Linked DNA regions of Caenorhabditis elegans. The protein of the gene in region 2 interacts with the protein of the main gene of each other region in a pairwise test. Each region holds a gene or a part of one and is shown on either strand. Other genes may lie near its edges.

Region 1 (8,896 bases), on a different chromosome or scaffold from region 2:
AAATTTTTTCAGCAAACACAGCTCTCGGAACCCTTCATCTCGCAGCTGTCGGAACAAATTCTGGAACAGTTCATTTGGTCGACGTTTTCACTTCTCAAATCTATCGTGATTTTTGTGTTCAACCATCTCTTGTTAAATGCCTTGAATGGGGCGGTGTTTATTCTCTTGTTACTGCTGGATATAATCATTCTTTAAGTGCATCACAAATTGTTCGAAATGATGTTTTTATCACTGATATTCGAACAGGTTTAGCCAAAAGAATTCGACCGGAAACTGATGAAAGTCCGATCACTATTATCCGAGTTTCATATTATCAGTAAGTTCTTCTCTATTTCAGTACCGTAATCATGATTTAAATTTCAGCTGCTATTTAGCAATCGCCTTCCAACGTGAACCACTCGAAATATGGGATTTGAAAGGACTTCGAATGCTTCGGAAAATGAGTCGAAGCTGTCCACTGATTATTGATATGGCATGGTCGAACAAACATCATAGTATTAAAACAACTGAATCTACCCTTCAAAGTGTTTATCGAGAAAATCTTGTTCTTCTCGATTCGGAGAATCGAATCTATCACATAACACTACGAGGACTTCATGTTAGAGACGGAAAAATAGTGAATACACAGTGGAAAAGCGCGAGTGCTCAAATATGTGCGATGGCTTGGAAGGATGATATTCTGGCAGTTGGTGATGTTGAAGGAAATCTGGTTGTTTGGGATTTAGGTAGAAGACAATCTAGACAAGTACGAGATGTATCACATTCAAGAGTTCATCGAATGACATTCTCAAGACTTGCTGGAGATCATACGATGGCTGTACTTCATTCGAAAGAAGTTACTCTATGGGATACGGAGGCAATGACTCGAATACAATCAATTCGTATGGATTCATCGAAATTATGTCTTGATGCGGACCTTTGTGGATTATCGCCGTTGGTTCTTTCAAATGATAATACATTGCGTTTTGTGGTTTCTAATACGAAAAATCAACCGATTTTGGAGAAAGGTAACGTCTTCATTAGTTTATTGTACGAAAATATTTTTTGAGACCCGAAGAACTCGGGGGATGTCCAATTGGGGGGATTACCAACTCGGGGGATTGGCCCCGCCCACAGAACCGTGGCTTGCAATACGCCCATTTCTTGGTAATCCCCCCAATTGGACATCCCCCGAGTTCTTCGGGTCTCTGTTTTTTACATGAAATTTTGCAATTTTTATATACATAGTCTTACTTACCAGGGCTGGGACCGAAAAAAAATTGAATTTTGTGTAACACCAAAAAGCCCAAAAAAAATTTGATGCTATTACCAAAAAAACCAAAAAACATCGCAGCCCTGTTACTTTCTTGCTTCGTTTTTCGTTTGAACCGTAAATATTTTGCGCTTAATTTTATTGCCAGGAAACAAATATTTAGGGTCAGTAGGTCGTAAATGTTGTCCATTGCCCTGGACGACATTTTACAACCGCCTTACGTCGAATGATAGGTTAGAAATAACAGAAATTGGAATTTGAAATATGCTCATTCACAGTAGAACAGTTCGGAGATTTTTACTGTTGTAAAAGATAAAAAAGTAAATCTGAAATTTCTGATATATTCACGAAAGTTTAAAATTGGAGATTTGTTTTTAAAACTATCAAATTTCAGAAATCCCATTCCTCTACAAAGATGACTCGATGAATAATGTTCGTAAACACCTTGAAGGATCCGGAAGCCGAAAATCTTCAGAAGACAGAAGTTCGGCTGATAAATCAGAGGACAGCACACTCGAAGACGCAATTGCATGGATCGATCAGAATCAGAGACCTCAAATTGAAACACTTGAAGCTGACTTATCAAAACTTCAACGTGAACGAGTAGTACGGCGATTTATCGGGGATCACTTTTCGGCTGATCTTCTATCCATTGTCATCGATCGATTTGCTCATTCGGAAACAGAACATTTGGCTCCAAATCTACAAATGTTCTGGGAGAATGGAGCATTTAAAGAACGAGAATCACGAGTTATCAGTGTAGCGTGTGCAGCTGAACAAGCAATGGAAAGGAGATTAGTCGAACAAGCTGTAGTTGTTGGAGGATCTGCAAAGGAAAGAGTCACCGATCGATTGATTGTTTCTGCAGATCTTCGGTACGCAAGCATCAAAGCAGCGTTGCTAGTCTCTTGTCAGGATAACGAAAAAGCAAAATCTCTGATAAAGCTCATCGCTACAAATTTGATTGCATCCGATTTGATTGAAGACGGAGTTGAACTATTGTTCTTGGTCGGAGCTGGTGGAGATGCTTGCAAGTATCTACAATCACAGAAATTATGGACGAAAAGTATTGTATATGCAAAGGTACGTTAACAAAAAAATAATCTGTATAAATTAATTTTATAGATGGGATTGGACGATCCTACTGAAGTCGAGTCAAAATGGATCGGACACCTTGCCGACGAGGCTAAACAAATTCGTGTTTTAGCCGAAGCATCTCGTCGTAATTGGCCCGACGTTGTTGAAGCGACATCCTCTGCTGATGCTATTCTAGCTCGATTGATTCTACGAACAACCACATCCACTCCACCTCTGTCTTCTTGTCCTACACCGTGATTAATTAGTTTTTTCGTGTTTGGTTGTGAAATAATCACTGTGTAAATAGCGGAAAGTGATATATAATTTAAATTCTAATTTATAAGGCGAATTTTGAAAAGCTTGTGAATATAGATAAATGGGTTCCTGCTTTACAATTTAAGAATTTGACAAAAAATGAGTTTATAGTCTCAAAGCATTTTCTTCGACAGACTATATATATATATCCGCGATTAGTATAGAACAGAGTAAAAGTAAAAAAGAAAGAAAAGACGAGTGAAAAACCCGCGCCAAAAAAGACGATTATAGCACGAAATTGGCTATGATGAGCTATCGAGAAGTAGAACGAGTTATGAAAATTATACTGGCGATCCGTACTCGTCGTCCTCGTATTCCTCGCGATTGATAACATTCGAGTCAGTGATGTTCTGCTCGCCACGTGGATCCAGCTCAGCCGCCCAGCTATAATTAAGAAGAGCCAAATGAGTATTTCCCATTCTTCGGTGAACTCGTGCTGAAAAATTCAAATTTATATAAAATAGTATAACTAATTTTAATACGTACCAAGCAGATGGAAAATGAATGCTTCATCTGGCGAACTAGCTTTCAATTTATCAAGTTCCACTAGACATTCTTCATTTCGATTCGCCTCAAACAAGAGACGTGATCTATTGAAACGGCAAGCCACATCAAGAGGATTCAGAGTGAGAGCCCTGTCAATCAGCACGAGAGCAGTATCGATTTGTCCACGTTGTTGCTCGATTTGGGACAGTGTGCAGAGCATTGCACGATTCGTTGGATTAATATTAACAGCCTTCTGGATATTGGTCAGTGCAGTCAGATTTTGCTCTTTCTTTAGGTGAACCAACCCGAGACCATACCAGGCACGGTAATCGCGAGGAGAAAGGAGAAGTGCTGATCTGAAAATTTAATGTTTTAATTAAAAACTTTCATGATCCTATAAATACCTGAAAGATCCCGCAGCTTTGTCAAGTTCATCCTGAACGATAAGCTCATGCCCCAATAAAGTGTATGCGTAGGCGAATCGTTTGTCAAGTTGAATAGCCCTCTCCATACATTCAATTGCCTGAGTATGCTGTCTTTGTAATGAGAAGCAATTTCCAGCGGCACACCAACTCTGTGGCCGTTCCCGTGATTCAGTTGTCAAAATCTGAGAAAGAGCCGAAAGAGCATGAGTATCTTGAAGGTGCCACATTGAGGTGGACAATAGCTCGGTTCCGTCAACCTTCCACTTTCTACGTTTATGCAAATCATCGAGAATGTTCCGGCACTCTCTGTATTCGGATTGCTCGAAGCAAGCTCTTCCCAACTGAAGACGGACCATAGACGTGTTAAGAATGATATCTCTATCGAGTTTTGCGAATAAAGCATCAGCCGATCTCCAATTGTATGTACTGATTGACTCTTCAATAAGTGCAATGTGTTGATAAACATCAAATAATTTCTCTGAAGAACAAATAAAATCATTAATTTTTGATTAACTGATTTCATACTGTATTCTGGATCGTAAACTCCATCGACAATATCCATAGGTTCATCATTGTTCAAAGAAGAAGCCACAGAAGGGAGAGGAGGATTGATCTGGGATACCTCATCTTCTGATGGACGCTCACTAGCTGTTGATGCCACCTGAAGCTGCTAATAATTGAAGAAAAATAACTGGTCATTATATTCTTACAGAATTGGTAGAACCCGACAAACTCCGTGCAAGATTTGAGTTTCTGGATACCAAAGGTTGTTTTTCATTTCGTCTTCTTTGACTCAGAGTTTTGGCAGTCTTGTTTGCAGCAGCGGCGGCGTCAGCAATTCTGATTGAAGTACGCACAGGATTGGTCTAAATTTAGAAAATTATTAATTTCAGTGTCCAAATAAATGTTACCCTCTGGGACGACGATGACCCTCTGGTAACTGATGCAATTCCACTCCGAGTTCTCGTATTCGATGCATTCGAATTCTCCGTATCGCTGTTTAGTGCAGCACTGAAATTATTGAAATAAAATTTCAAAATCTGTCACCACTCACTTTGCGCGATTTCTAGAGCTATGTGTAGCCCTCGTGTGTGGTCTCTCGGGTTCTGTGAATAACGATGATCGAGATCCAGTGACTGAAGATTCGGTACGTCGTGTCGTCATTTCACTGATTCTGGAGCTTTTTCTCGGGGCAGTTGGATTAATACGTGAAGGTGTGGATCCAGGAGTGGATTGTCTTGGAGTGATGTTTGATGTGGTATCTGTAACTTTTAATTTCTGATTCAGCATGATCTTTCAAAAATTTTTAATAGTGGATTTTGAAAAATCGCATTTTTAGAGTCGGATTTTTTTCTAAACTGATATTCCAAAATTTTATTCTCCAAAAAAGAAAATCCTATAAATACTTCCTATAAATTTACGGAAAATTTTTCAATAGTTTTTTCCGCTTCACTCACTTCTTGTCTCGCGATTCGCCGAAGCAATCGTACCGCGTGTAGATCGTCTGACCGAACTTTCCAGTCTGGAAGGTTCAGCAGTGCTGGCAGCTGAAGAAGACGACGGCCCAGGAACATTTGGTGATGGTGTTTCGGATTTCAAACTCGAAGCTGGACTATCCAGGTATAGACCATTTCTATAAAAATGTCGGCATAATATTTAAATTTAAACATTCTCAGAATCTTACGATTTTCGGTGATGTTTTTCAAAAGTATGGGCGAGATCATGACCTCCAAACCGTAAATAAGTTATGATAGCTGACCACAACAAAATATTCTCATCCAGAGACTTTTGACAAGATTCTAAAGCCAGATCCATGTAACTTTCATCGCAAAGCATTTGAGCATGAAGCAAATTAGCATGTGATGCAACCCGTGGCTCTTCCAGGATATCTTTCCGTATCACTCCATCGTCATGTTCGAAAAGAGCTCCTCTACAGTCATCGATTCTAAAGAAAAATTAAAATAATGAATAAATATACATATATATTACAAACTAACTTATTTAAATCGTAGGATACCCTTGCAAGTAGATAGAAGAGTCTAGCTCCGCTCAATTTAACTGAACTAAGGAGACCATAACATTCCTCTTTCTTATTGGCTCTATACAGACAATCAGCGTATAGAAGAAGAGATTCGGAGTTGTTGCCTGAAAAAAAGTTATTGAAATTAAAATATGAATTAAAAACGAAAACCACTTTTATCGGTTTCGTAATGAAGCTCGGCTAGAAAAATAGCATCATCAAAAGCGTAACACTTCATCATTTCATGAATCTCATCTTCAATTGTTCGGTGTGCGTCCGCTGGAAAACGCTCGAACACCTCTCTCAATTGAGGCCGCACAGCTACAGACGCAGCTGATTCTTTCATTCTCTTCGCGACCTGAAGAAACGCTAAATAAACTATTAAATCGAGAAAAGCGGTGATATTCAAGAAAAGAGATATCGGCGAACAAAAGGGAAACGAAAATCAATTTGACCATTTCTCAAATACATCCCTTAGGTTATTGTATCGATTATACTGACAATTGAACTCAAACTTTAAAAACTAAAAGTGCCAAGAAATCGAAGAAAAATTGATCAGGCGTTCACATTAAATGAGGATCATTTGAGTTTTATCGATTGGTTTCAAACAAAGCTTGGAAAAAATGCAATAGTTTGCCAGCAGGCATGTGAACGTTGTATGAATCGATTGCCGAGAAAATGTCATCGAATTGAAGAGTAGATCATTTCCAGCGAACTGCAGCAATGAAGAGAAACGAGAAAGACGGGGAACGGCGTACAACGTGAACTTTTGCGCCCGACTACAGCCGGCGGCGGCCGGTCTTCAATTGTCGTCAGATGAGGTGCATTGCGTGCTTTTGTGTTTGCGGAGTCGCATACCGTACTTCGCAATCCTAATGTTTTTCGAAATTGTTTTTTTTCTTTTTCTTTTCTTTTTTTCTTTTTGCCTTGTTCATTTTTTCTTTTAACTAAGAGAATTGAAATACTATTTTAATCTAAAATTTCAGTTAATCTTTAAACTACCTAAAAATGTCGTTGGCTGAAGAACTTATGGCTGATTTTGACGATGACGACGATGAGGATTTGGAAGACATTCCAGATCTCGGAGAAAACCTTAAGGTAAATCGAATTTAAAATTTAAATTATTTAAAATCTAGAGTTTTTGCAGCATCTGATAAAATTGTAATTTTCAGGGCGTCAAAAAGGAAGAACTCGATGATGATATTGAAGAAGCAACAGAAGAACCGATGGATACAACTAAATATGCATCAGTGCACGATGTAGCAAAGCTTGCCAGATCTGATGAGTTAGTTTTAGTTTTGTTTTAATATATAATTTTAAAATACTTTTACAGATATTTAGCACTAGTGAAACAATTGGAAGTTGAACTGAAACGGCCTCAGGATGAAGTGAAGGTGACAGCTCCTCTTGAAGCAGATCCACAATACAAGCTTATTGTTAAATTATCCCACGTAAGTACATCATGAAAAAGAAACAAAAAAGGCAATGATTAATTTCAGGTCGCTGCAGATATCGACAACGAGATCAATGTGATTCACAAATTTGTTCGTGATAAATATGAAAAGCGCTTTCCTGAACTAGAAACGCTTGTTCCTAACGCGTTGACCTATTTGGCTACTGTACAGTTACTGGGAAACGAGATCAACAGCAAGGTAGTGAAAGAACAACTCGGCGGAATTCTAGATGCCTCAACATGCATGGTGGTCAGTGTAACAGTCTCAACAACACAAGGAGTCAAGCTTGAGCCAAATGAGCTGGAAACCGTCATGGATGCTTGTAATTTGGCTGCTCAACTTCATGTCAATCGTCTCGAAATGCACCAACTTGTAGAATGGCGAATGGCTCTGATTGCCCCGAATCTGGTTGCTTTGCTCGGCTCAACTACTACTGCCCATCTAGTTTCACAAGCCGGAGGATTGTCTCCACTAGCCACAATGCCATCATGTAATGTACAGGTTCTCGGAAAAACGAAAAAGAATTTGATTGGATTCTCAACAGTGTCCACAAATCCACATCATGGTTTTATCTATTTCCATCAGTTGGTTCAAAAGATGCCTCCAGATTTGAAAAACAAAGCGGCCAAAATTTTAGCTGCAAAAGTGACTTTAGTTGCTAGAATTGATGCTCAACACGAGTCATCCAACGGAGAAAAAGGCGCGGAATTTCTGGCGTTGGTGGAAAGTAAATTTGAAAAAATGTTGGAGCCACCACCAGTGAAAGCTAACAAAGCGCTTCCAAAACCTTTGGATAAGGCAAGTAAAAAACGTGGAGGACGTCGAACAAGAAAGATGAAGGAACGCCTCGGAATGACGGATCTTCGGAAAAGTGCCAATCGCATGAACTTTGGAGAATTGGGAGAAGATGTAATGCAAGAGCACATGGGATTCGATATTGGGCAGGTGAAGACCGGAAATGTGACTGGTGGAAGAATCCGAACAGCCGCAGTGGATCAGAAGACCAGAGCAAGAATGTCGCAAAAGATGATGCGGCAGATGGAGAGACAGAAAGCAGCTGGAGGAATGACAAGTATTCGAAGCAAAATGGCGGGAACTGCGTCATCTGTCACGTTCACACCAATTCAAGGTCTAGAGATTATCAATCCAGCTGCACAAGAACAGCAACAATGTTCATCGACTTCAAACTATTTCTCCTCGTCTGGAAGTTTTGTTAATATTGATCGGATGACTTTATAATATATTTATTTGTTACTTTCCTCTTCCTGAATTCTGAATTCTTGAATCTCAAACCAAATGAATCGACTTTTTCATTTATATAAAACTCAACAACTAAATACTAACCAATTGGTGGAATTTCTCCCCTCTTAAATATATCTTTACACTTATCCAATCTAACAACTTTTCACCTCGTAAACAACTCTCAATCCTCCCAATTTTCCTCTCCAGGTCTCAGTGATTTTCGATCGGAATTTCGACCCATATGCGAAACGGGTTCGCTCTTTTTTCATGTCTTTTCTTCTTTCTAGCTGATTGCAAGAAAGTAAATCGAGATTTTGACTATGAATTGAGCAAGAGAACTCTGGAATTCGCAGCGGCTGCGTATTCCATCGATCCGGAACCTTGCATCTCGAAAAACAATGCGACTTTATTGTTTTTCAAAAAGGTGGAGTGCGATTATATGCGTGACGAGGTAAAAGATCATGAGATCTTTAAATATTCAAAAATCATCTGATTTAATTTTTTCCAGTGCTGGAGTGTGATTGCTGCCGACAACGACACAATATTCGTCAGTTTCAGTGGAACAAAATCGAAAGAGCAGCTGGTAACTGAACTTATCGAAAGCATTGGTCGGCCAAAGCACAAA
Region 2 (6,946 bases):
TGAGATCCATAAAATAAACAAATAAAAATTTTAAAAGTTCAGAGAACTGTGCTTATTCAGCTTGGGTAAAAAGAGAAACAGAAGTGGAATAAGGAAATTTGAATTTAGTGATTAATTAAATAACGGAACATTTGTTTTGGAACCGAAGCGAGTTTAGTTGTCACCGTCTCCATTATCCATTGGAGATGCGCTTCTCGAACGTCTCGGGGATCCCTTTTCCGAAGGCGAACGCGATCCGCGTGGTGGAGATGGAGAGCGATCGACCTTCTTTGGAGATCTTGATGGCGAACGAGACTTTCTGAAAATAGTTTGTTTTTTAAATCATCACTTTTATAATATCAATACCTGTTGTCAGCGCTGCGAGAACGGCTTCTGCTGCGAGACTTGGACTTCGATTCGCGTCGAGAGCGTTTTGGTGGGGAACGGCTACGGCTCTTTGAGCGACTCGAGCTGCGAGAGCGGGAGCGGCGACGATCACGACTGCGAGAACGGCTGCGAGAGCGACTGTTGGATCGAGAACGTGAGCGTCCAGCTTGCGAGTCGTCGATCATCTTGATCTTTCTTCCATTCAAATCCATTCCATCGCATTTCTCAATGCATCTTTTAAGATCGGATGGTGTTGCGAAGCAGAGAAGTCTGAAAATTGATTTGTTATTTTTCATCTTCTATCTACAAATTGCAAACTTACGCTTCATTTGGTCTCTTATGAGCTTCGGCATAGGTTGGTTCAACTCCTTGGCGGCGGACTTGGTCTTTGAGATCCTGAAAACACAATAAAGATGCTACATAATTACATCTGTCGATATTTGACGGCTTTCCAAGGTGTTGTGAAAAATGTGCGTGAATAGCGCACAATCGGGATTACCATATGCAATCCTTGCACATGTTTGATGCGGGATCATCCGAACCACTCAGCCTAACCACGCGAACACCAAAAACCCGAAATCACATCCCAGCGTGCAGGACCAAAAAGTACAGGAACCAAGAACATCAAGACTACGCGGGAGAAGGAGAGCCAATAATCATTTTGCGCCCTTTGTTCTGCGGTCCGACCATCATCAGACAGGCTCGGGATCACATGATACCAAATCACAAGAATCATCATCAACAACAAGATCCTCCAGTTATCATACAATCTTCTCCTGCTTAAATATAAAATATTAGGAAAGATGTTTTCCTCCCACTGACAAATTGAGATGATCGTGTTGTATTTTGTCAAGATAAAGTTTCAATAGATGTATTACAGTTTCTATCTCCGTTTCGTTTTACATACCTGCCAAGAAATTCGAGATGAGAGATTCTCGACGACGACGCGATGACGAGTGCTGTATGGACGACCGTAGCGACTGAAAATGTAAGTGGTTATTATTATTGCCACTATCGCTTCATTCAATTACCTTTCTCTTCTTGGTGGTCCACGATCATAACGATCGAATCTATCGCGTCCTCCACCGCCACCACCGCTGTATGAGCTGACTCGTGCACCTCCACGACCGCCACCACCGAAACCACCGCGGTCGCCACCGCCTCCTCGTGGTTTGGAATAATCCAATATGACACGCTCTCCACCGAGCTCCTTTCCGTTCAAATCATGAACTGCGTCTTCGGCGTCACGCTTGTCGTCGAACTCCTGAAAAAAAATGACATTAGGAAACTGAAATGGTTTTAGAAATTATAACTTACGACAAATCCAAAACCATTCTTGAGTAGGACGTCGCGAATTTGGCCATAACCACGGAAGAAATGCTCAATGTCCTTTTCAGAAACACGAGAAGTCAACCGACCGATGTAAATTCGAGCTGCCATGCTGAAAAGAAAGCGAATGAATGAATGGCCTGTATCACAGAGGAGAAAAATAATATTGAAGACGAGAAGATTATCGATTCACAAAATGTGCGCGTTTGAGAGCGCACTCACAGACAATGTAGCCATGACAACAACGCGCACCTTGGCCGATAAGCGGGGCAGCTGTTTTACTCAAAACACACTCATTTTCTCTGCGTACAACCACTCTTTTCTCGTCTGCGCCCTACATTTCTTAAATTAGTTGCAATGTTTTTCTCCTAATTAGTTTCAAACTCTGACCCACATATGAAAAAAATGATCTTGCATTTGCGTAATCCTAAAATTCCTTCCTTTCGAATTTGATGATTTTCTGCGTTTTTTAAAGTTCTAATATCGTTTCCTAGCTTGAAAATAATTTGAAGTTTTTTTTAAAGTAAATATATAACACTTAACGCTTTCACATCCAGGTTAGCCAATGGACTCATTTTGCTTTGATATTCTTTATTTGAGATTCTGTGAATCAATGCCTTTCATCACAAAAAAAACATCTTAAAGCGCTTATTCGACTTATTTTCATATAAAATCCTAAAACCACAAGATTATAGTTTGCATTCTGATGAAAAGTTAAGAGCATATCAACCTGAACACCTACGCAGGCGAAATTCAATGCAGGATTAGTGAAATACTTTAAAAATAAGAAGAAATGCCGCACAAAATGCGAAAATCAGTTTCAAATGAGGGCACCCGCGACGCAACCGCAACGCTTAGAGCACTAAGTGCGTGTCAGAACGCTGCTGACGCATTAATGGGATACCATTGCGCGTTTCTCGTTTTATAACTCTGTGGCATCGTCCTGTGCTCCCATTTTATTGATTATCGACTTAATTTCAGCGCGTCGCGTGCATGTGCATGTACATATTGCCTCCTATTTAATGTGCAATGCCCAAATTCTCTTCCTCTCTGGCCACAATAATTTTTATTTCTCCAGACTTTTCTTATTTCTTCTCTCTTTTGAATTGACTTTTCTCATTCTTCACTTATTTCAGACCTCTAAACATGGTTCGTGTCTACATCGGTCGTTTGCCAAATAGAGCATCTGATCGTGATGTCGAGCACTTCTTCCGCGGATATGGAAAGCTGTCTGATGTCATAATGAAGAACGGATTTGGTTTCGTGGTAAGAGATAACATATTTTCGTCAGAATATCTTGAATATGTCATAATTTCAGGATTTTCAAGACCAGCGCGATGCCGATGACGCTGTCCACGATTTGAATGGGAAAGAGCTTTGTGGAGAGAGAGTCATTCTTGAGTTTCCACGGCGTAAAGTTGGGTACAACGAGGAAAGAAGTGGGAGTGGTTTCAGAGGACGTGAGCCAACGTTCAGAAAAGGCGGCGAGCGCCAGTTTTCCAACCGATACAGTCGTCCGTGCTCGACTAGATTCCGTTTGGTGATCGATAATTTGTCTACTCGTTACAGTTGGCAGGTAAGATACATGACTGCGAGCCATAGCGATTCACAAGTTGCGTGTTTGAGTGTGATTGAACAACTAACGAAATACTACCCCCGTTCCAAATTTTACTGAAAACTGTCACTCATTTTTTCAAAACGAACATTTTGAATGCTACAGCAGCAACTCAGTGGGTGTGCCATTTGCCAATACAATTTGCAATTCAATTGCTCTCAATCAATTTCCTCAGTCAATGGCATTCTTCTTCCTCCTATCAATCTGGCCCTACTTCACAAACAATCAATACCCTGTACCTGAATTTTAGGACATCAAGGACCACATCCGCAAGCTGGGAATCGAGCCGACCTACTCCGAGGCGCACAAGAGAAATGTCAACCAAGCGTATGATATGCACTTCTTTTAAATGTAATTCATCGTTTTTATTTTTAGAATCGTATGCTTCACTTCCCATGACGACTTGCGTGATGCGATGAACAAGTTGCAAGGTGAAGACCTGAACGGAAGAAAGCTCAAATGCACGGATGAGACCCGTGACCGCAGCCGTTCAAGAAGTCCACGCCGTCGCTCTCGATCCAGAAGTCCCACTAGAAGCCGTTCTCCACCAGCTCGTCGTCGCAGTCCTGGATCTGACAGATCGGACAGAAAGAGCCGTAGTGCATCACCAAAGAAACGATCCGACAAGAGAGCTCGCAGTGAGAGCAAGAGCCGTTCTCGTTCCGGCGGAAGGTAAAAATAAATTTATGATTAGTGAGAAAATACATTTCTATTTTCCAGACGTTCCCGCTCCAACTCTCCACCAAACCGTTCTCCATCACCAAAGAAAAGACGCGACAACTCTTCTCCACGTTCCGGATCTGCATCTCCATAATTTTATTTATCATTGCACCTCTCATGTGAAATTTCCTGTTCCATCTATTTTTTTATCGTAACGTCAGTAACTCGTGCAAAAAGCCGAATCATGTAATCGACCAATCTAATGTTGTGCGTCTCTCTCTTTCTCTCTCTCTGTTTGTGTGTTTTTTTGTCTAAAAACTACCACTAATTTAATATATTATTTTTATAAAATTCAATAAAACAATTTGGATGCAAACTTTGCAATTTTTTATCGAATACATAACACTTCTCATAAAGTTCATTTGAAAACAATTGAATATTCGCGAAAAAGTTTAATCTAGCTCGCTCAACGTGAAGTGTGAAGCACAGTTATTGCTGTTTTTTGTAGTCGGGAAGAACGGACAGTTTGTACTTGGGCAATGTAATCCAACTGAAGGATCACTCAAATTGACACTGGTTTGTTTGAATCCAACCTAGAAAAATCCCATTAAACAATAAAATCATTATTCCGGAGTTATGATTACTGGTTGAACAATTGTGTTCCAAAGATGCATTCCAATATTTCCATGCCCGTAAGCCGAGAAATGGAAGCAATCTGGAGCAAAGAATGTCATGTCAACAACTCCTGGGCTCTGGAAAATGCAAATATTTAAATGAAATTTAAATTCAAAATGTGCCAACCGCGTATGGTGGATCCAGAATCCCGTTGAAAAATGGTTGAACTACAAACGTGAAATCATCCTTGTTATCGAATAATCCCGTGTTTTGAATATCTTTTTCAGCATTCTGAAAACTTTTAAAAATTTAGAAAGATGTGTCCCACCACGACCGAAACTTTTCAGCTACCGTACCGTATGCGACACTACGGTATCTGAAAAGTTTGGCTCACGTCAAGACCTGGGACTGGTAATAATCCAAAACAAACCATATATCCGAAGCAAACTCCTTGAATATCATCATCAGTGAATTGTTTGTTGGACTCACAATCACATTCGAATCTAAAAGCCAAAAGTTAAACAGAATTTTTAGGAATTCAAGTTCCCCTACGTATGAAGTCCTTCGCAGAAATACTTCTTCTTGTCAATCTTACGAAGCATTCTCATGTTGAACATTCCGGTCAGTGAGACAATTGTTCTGGAATAAATATTTGAATTTTTAAACTCACGCCACGAAGAAAAAGTTTTGCAAACTGAAATTCTACTGAACAGTTTAAATTTGAAATTCGTGCGCCTCTAAAGAGTACTGTAATTTTAAAATTTTGTCTTTTTGCTCACAATTTGTTAAAATTCATCTGGTTTTTATTATTTTTTCTTAGTTTTTGTATAAATATTTTTTAAATAAAAAACTTTATGGAAATTCAGTTTGAAATTACAGTACTTTTTAAATGGCACACACCCGTTTTAACTTTACAAAATATTATCGCGCCGAGACCGGATACCGTATTCTTAGCGCAAAAATTGCAAAATTTCGCGTCTATTCAATACCTTGGCAGATTATCCTGAAGAATCTGAACAGCTGCGATGATATTCTTCTCAAAAGTTGCATTTCCATGAAGAGCCGTCGAGTTGAAGTACGGATCTTCACAATAGACACAAATATCGTTTGCCCCAATGAAAATGTTGACAAGTTTCCAGTCTTCTTTCACGTTAATCTGAAAGCTTTGATTTGAAAAGGGGGCTCAGAAGCTCTAAATTACTTCAGAATGAGCATGCATAGTGTTGACCAGAGCTCTTGCCTGACCGATAATATCCTTGGATTCAGCTCCAGGAACTCCCATATTCAAGTGAGAAACTTCCCATACGTTTTCCGAGCCGATTCCTTTTGAGGCACCCACCAAGGTTGGATTGAACTTTCTTAGTACATCTGAAAGGTTTTAGAAGGGTAAAAATATTATCAAAATTGTAAAAACTCACTTGCAACAGTAATGTGCTCATCAAGGCTTTTATCACCTCCAATCTGGAAGGCAAGTCCTCTATATTGCAGGATGACTGCCAGCGGGTCTCCTGGTTGAGCTCCAGCACCATTGGCTGCCTGGAAGTTTGACCTAATTGGTTTTAGTAAAATTAAAGCATACTCACAGTCAACGAGTCCCCAAGTGCTCCAATAACCTTGATATCAGCAAATCGAACACTATGAGCACTGGTGGGAACTTTCTTACTCTTTGCCATAACACTAGCGTCACACGACCAGTTCGGAGCTCCGAGATCCTTGAGCCCATGAGCCAGGGAGCAACATAGCAACGTGGTAACTGAACGTAAAGAATGGGTGTATTTTTCTAACTAAAAGGCTAGATTTTTGACTAATTTTCTAGTATTTATTAGCAGGTTGCAAATTGAACAACTATGTGGAATTTGAAAGTTGTAGCCACCACCCACTGCGGCTGAGATCGTGAAGAGACCTACTCAGAAAAATAGCGAGCGCGTATAAAGCAAAGCGGCAATTTTTACGAAATTTGGATATTTAAAATTTAAAATTAATTTCTTGTTTTCTGAAAAAAAGGAAAGAATACATGTCTAGGAACCTATGAACAAGAGCATGATAGATACAAAATCATTTTTAAAAAATTGAGATTCTCCTAGCAGAATACACGAGCCTACGTAAATCTAAACGATTAGTTTCTTTTTCTAATAATTCCTAATTCAAAATGACCTACCTAACCACCGCATGATTCAGTAGTGCTGTCTGAAACAGAGTCTCAAAAAGATGATATTCAAGACATTATCGACACCCACTGCTTATCACCTTTATAGTCTTTATCAGGACATTTTGATTTGCGTCCGGACATGCTCTCGCAATCCAATTTGTATGTACATTCATTTAGGGGTTTGAACAGGAAAAGTGGGTGGCGAAACATAT

The links. Proteins that work in one complex are often made in the same cells at the same time.
Region 1: the proteins of rsp-2 (region 2) and mat-1 interact in a two-hybrid assay, tested with the Caenorhabditis elegans proteins (one large-scale study listed by BioGRID).

The regions. Positions count from the first base shown.
Region 1 is NC_003279.8:5,121,267-5,130,162, forward strand, and holds mat-1 (Cell division cycle protein 27 homolog), read right to left. Parts: upstream 5,936-8,896; 5' UTR 5,922-5,935; coding exon 5,750-5,921; intron 5,701-5,749; coding exon 5,553-5,700; intron 5,501-5,552; coding exon 5,240-5,500; intron 5,189-5,239; coding exon 5,013-5,188; intron 4,818-5,012; coding exon 4,610-4,817; intron 4,567-4,609; coding exon 4,467-4,566; intron 4,422-4,466; coding exon 4,266-4,421; intron 4,223-4,265; coding exon 4,081-4,222; intron 4,034-4,080; coding exon 3,535-4,033; intron 3,487-3,534; coding exon 3,131-3,486; intron 3,081-3,130; coding exon 2,926-3,080; 3' UTR 2,649-2,925; downstream 1-2,648. Other genes in the region: Y110A7A.9 (WD repeat-containing protein 11), read left to right, coding at 13-316, 364-1,007, 1,647-2,335, 2,378-2,587; prp-31 (U4/U6 small nuclear ribonucleoprotein Prp31), read left to right, coding at 6,584-6,673, 6,748-6,860, 6,909-7,026, 7,075-8,268; Y110A7A.7 (Fungal lipase-type domain-containing protein), read left to right, coding at 8,513-8,722, 8,780-8,896. UniProt on the Caenorhabditis elegans protein: Probable component of the anaphase promoting complex/cyclosome (APC/C), a cell cycle-regulated E3 ubiquitin ligase that controls progression through mitosis and the G1 phase of the cell cycle.
Region 2 is NC_003280.10:11,448,841-11,455,786, reverse strand, and holds rsp-2 (putative splicing factor, arginine/serine-rich 2), read left to right. Parts: upstream 1-2,831; 5' UTR 2,832-2,841; coding exon 2,842-2,961; intron 2,962-3,013; coding exon 3,014-3,271; intron 3,272-3,560; coding exon 3,561-3,637; intron 3,638-3,685; coding exon 3,686-3,982; intron 3,983-4,030; coding exon 4,031-4,124; 3' UTR 4,125-4,346; downstream 4,347-6,946. Other genes in the region: rsp-1 (putative splicing factor, arginine/serine-rich 1), read right to left, coding at 154-298, 346-636, 689-762, 1,274-1,346, 1,398-1,630, 1,684-1,806; W02B12.1 (Lipase_GDSL domain-containing protein), read right to left, coding at 4,423-4,563, 4,615-4,722, 4,772-4,876, 5,016-5,088, 5,138-5,224, 5,575-5,741, 5,787-5,953, 6,004-6,121 and 2 more. UniProt on the Caenorhabditis elegans protein: Plays a functionally redundant role in spermatogenesis and growth rate control. Required for the development of somatic gonad structures and for progression from larval stage to adulthood.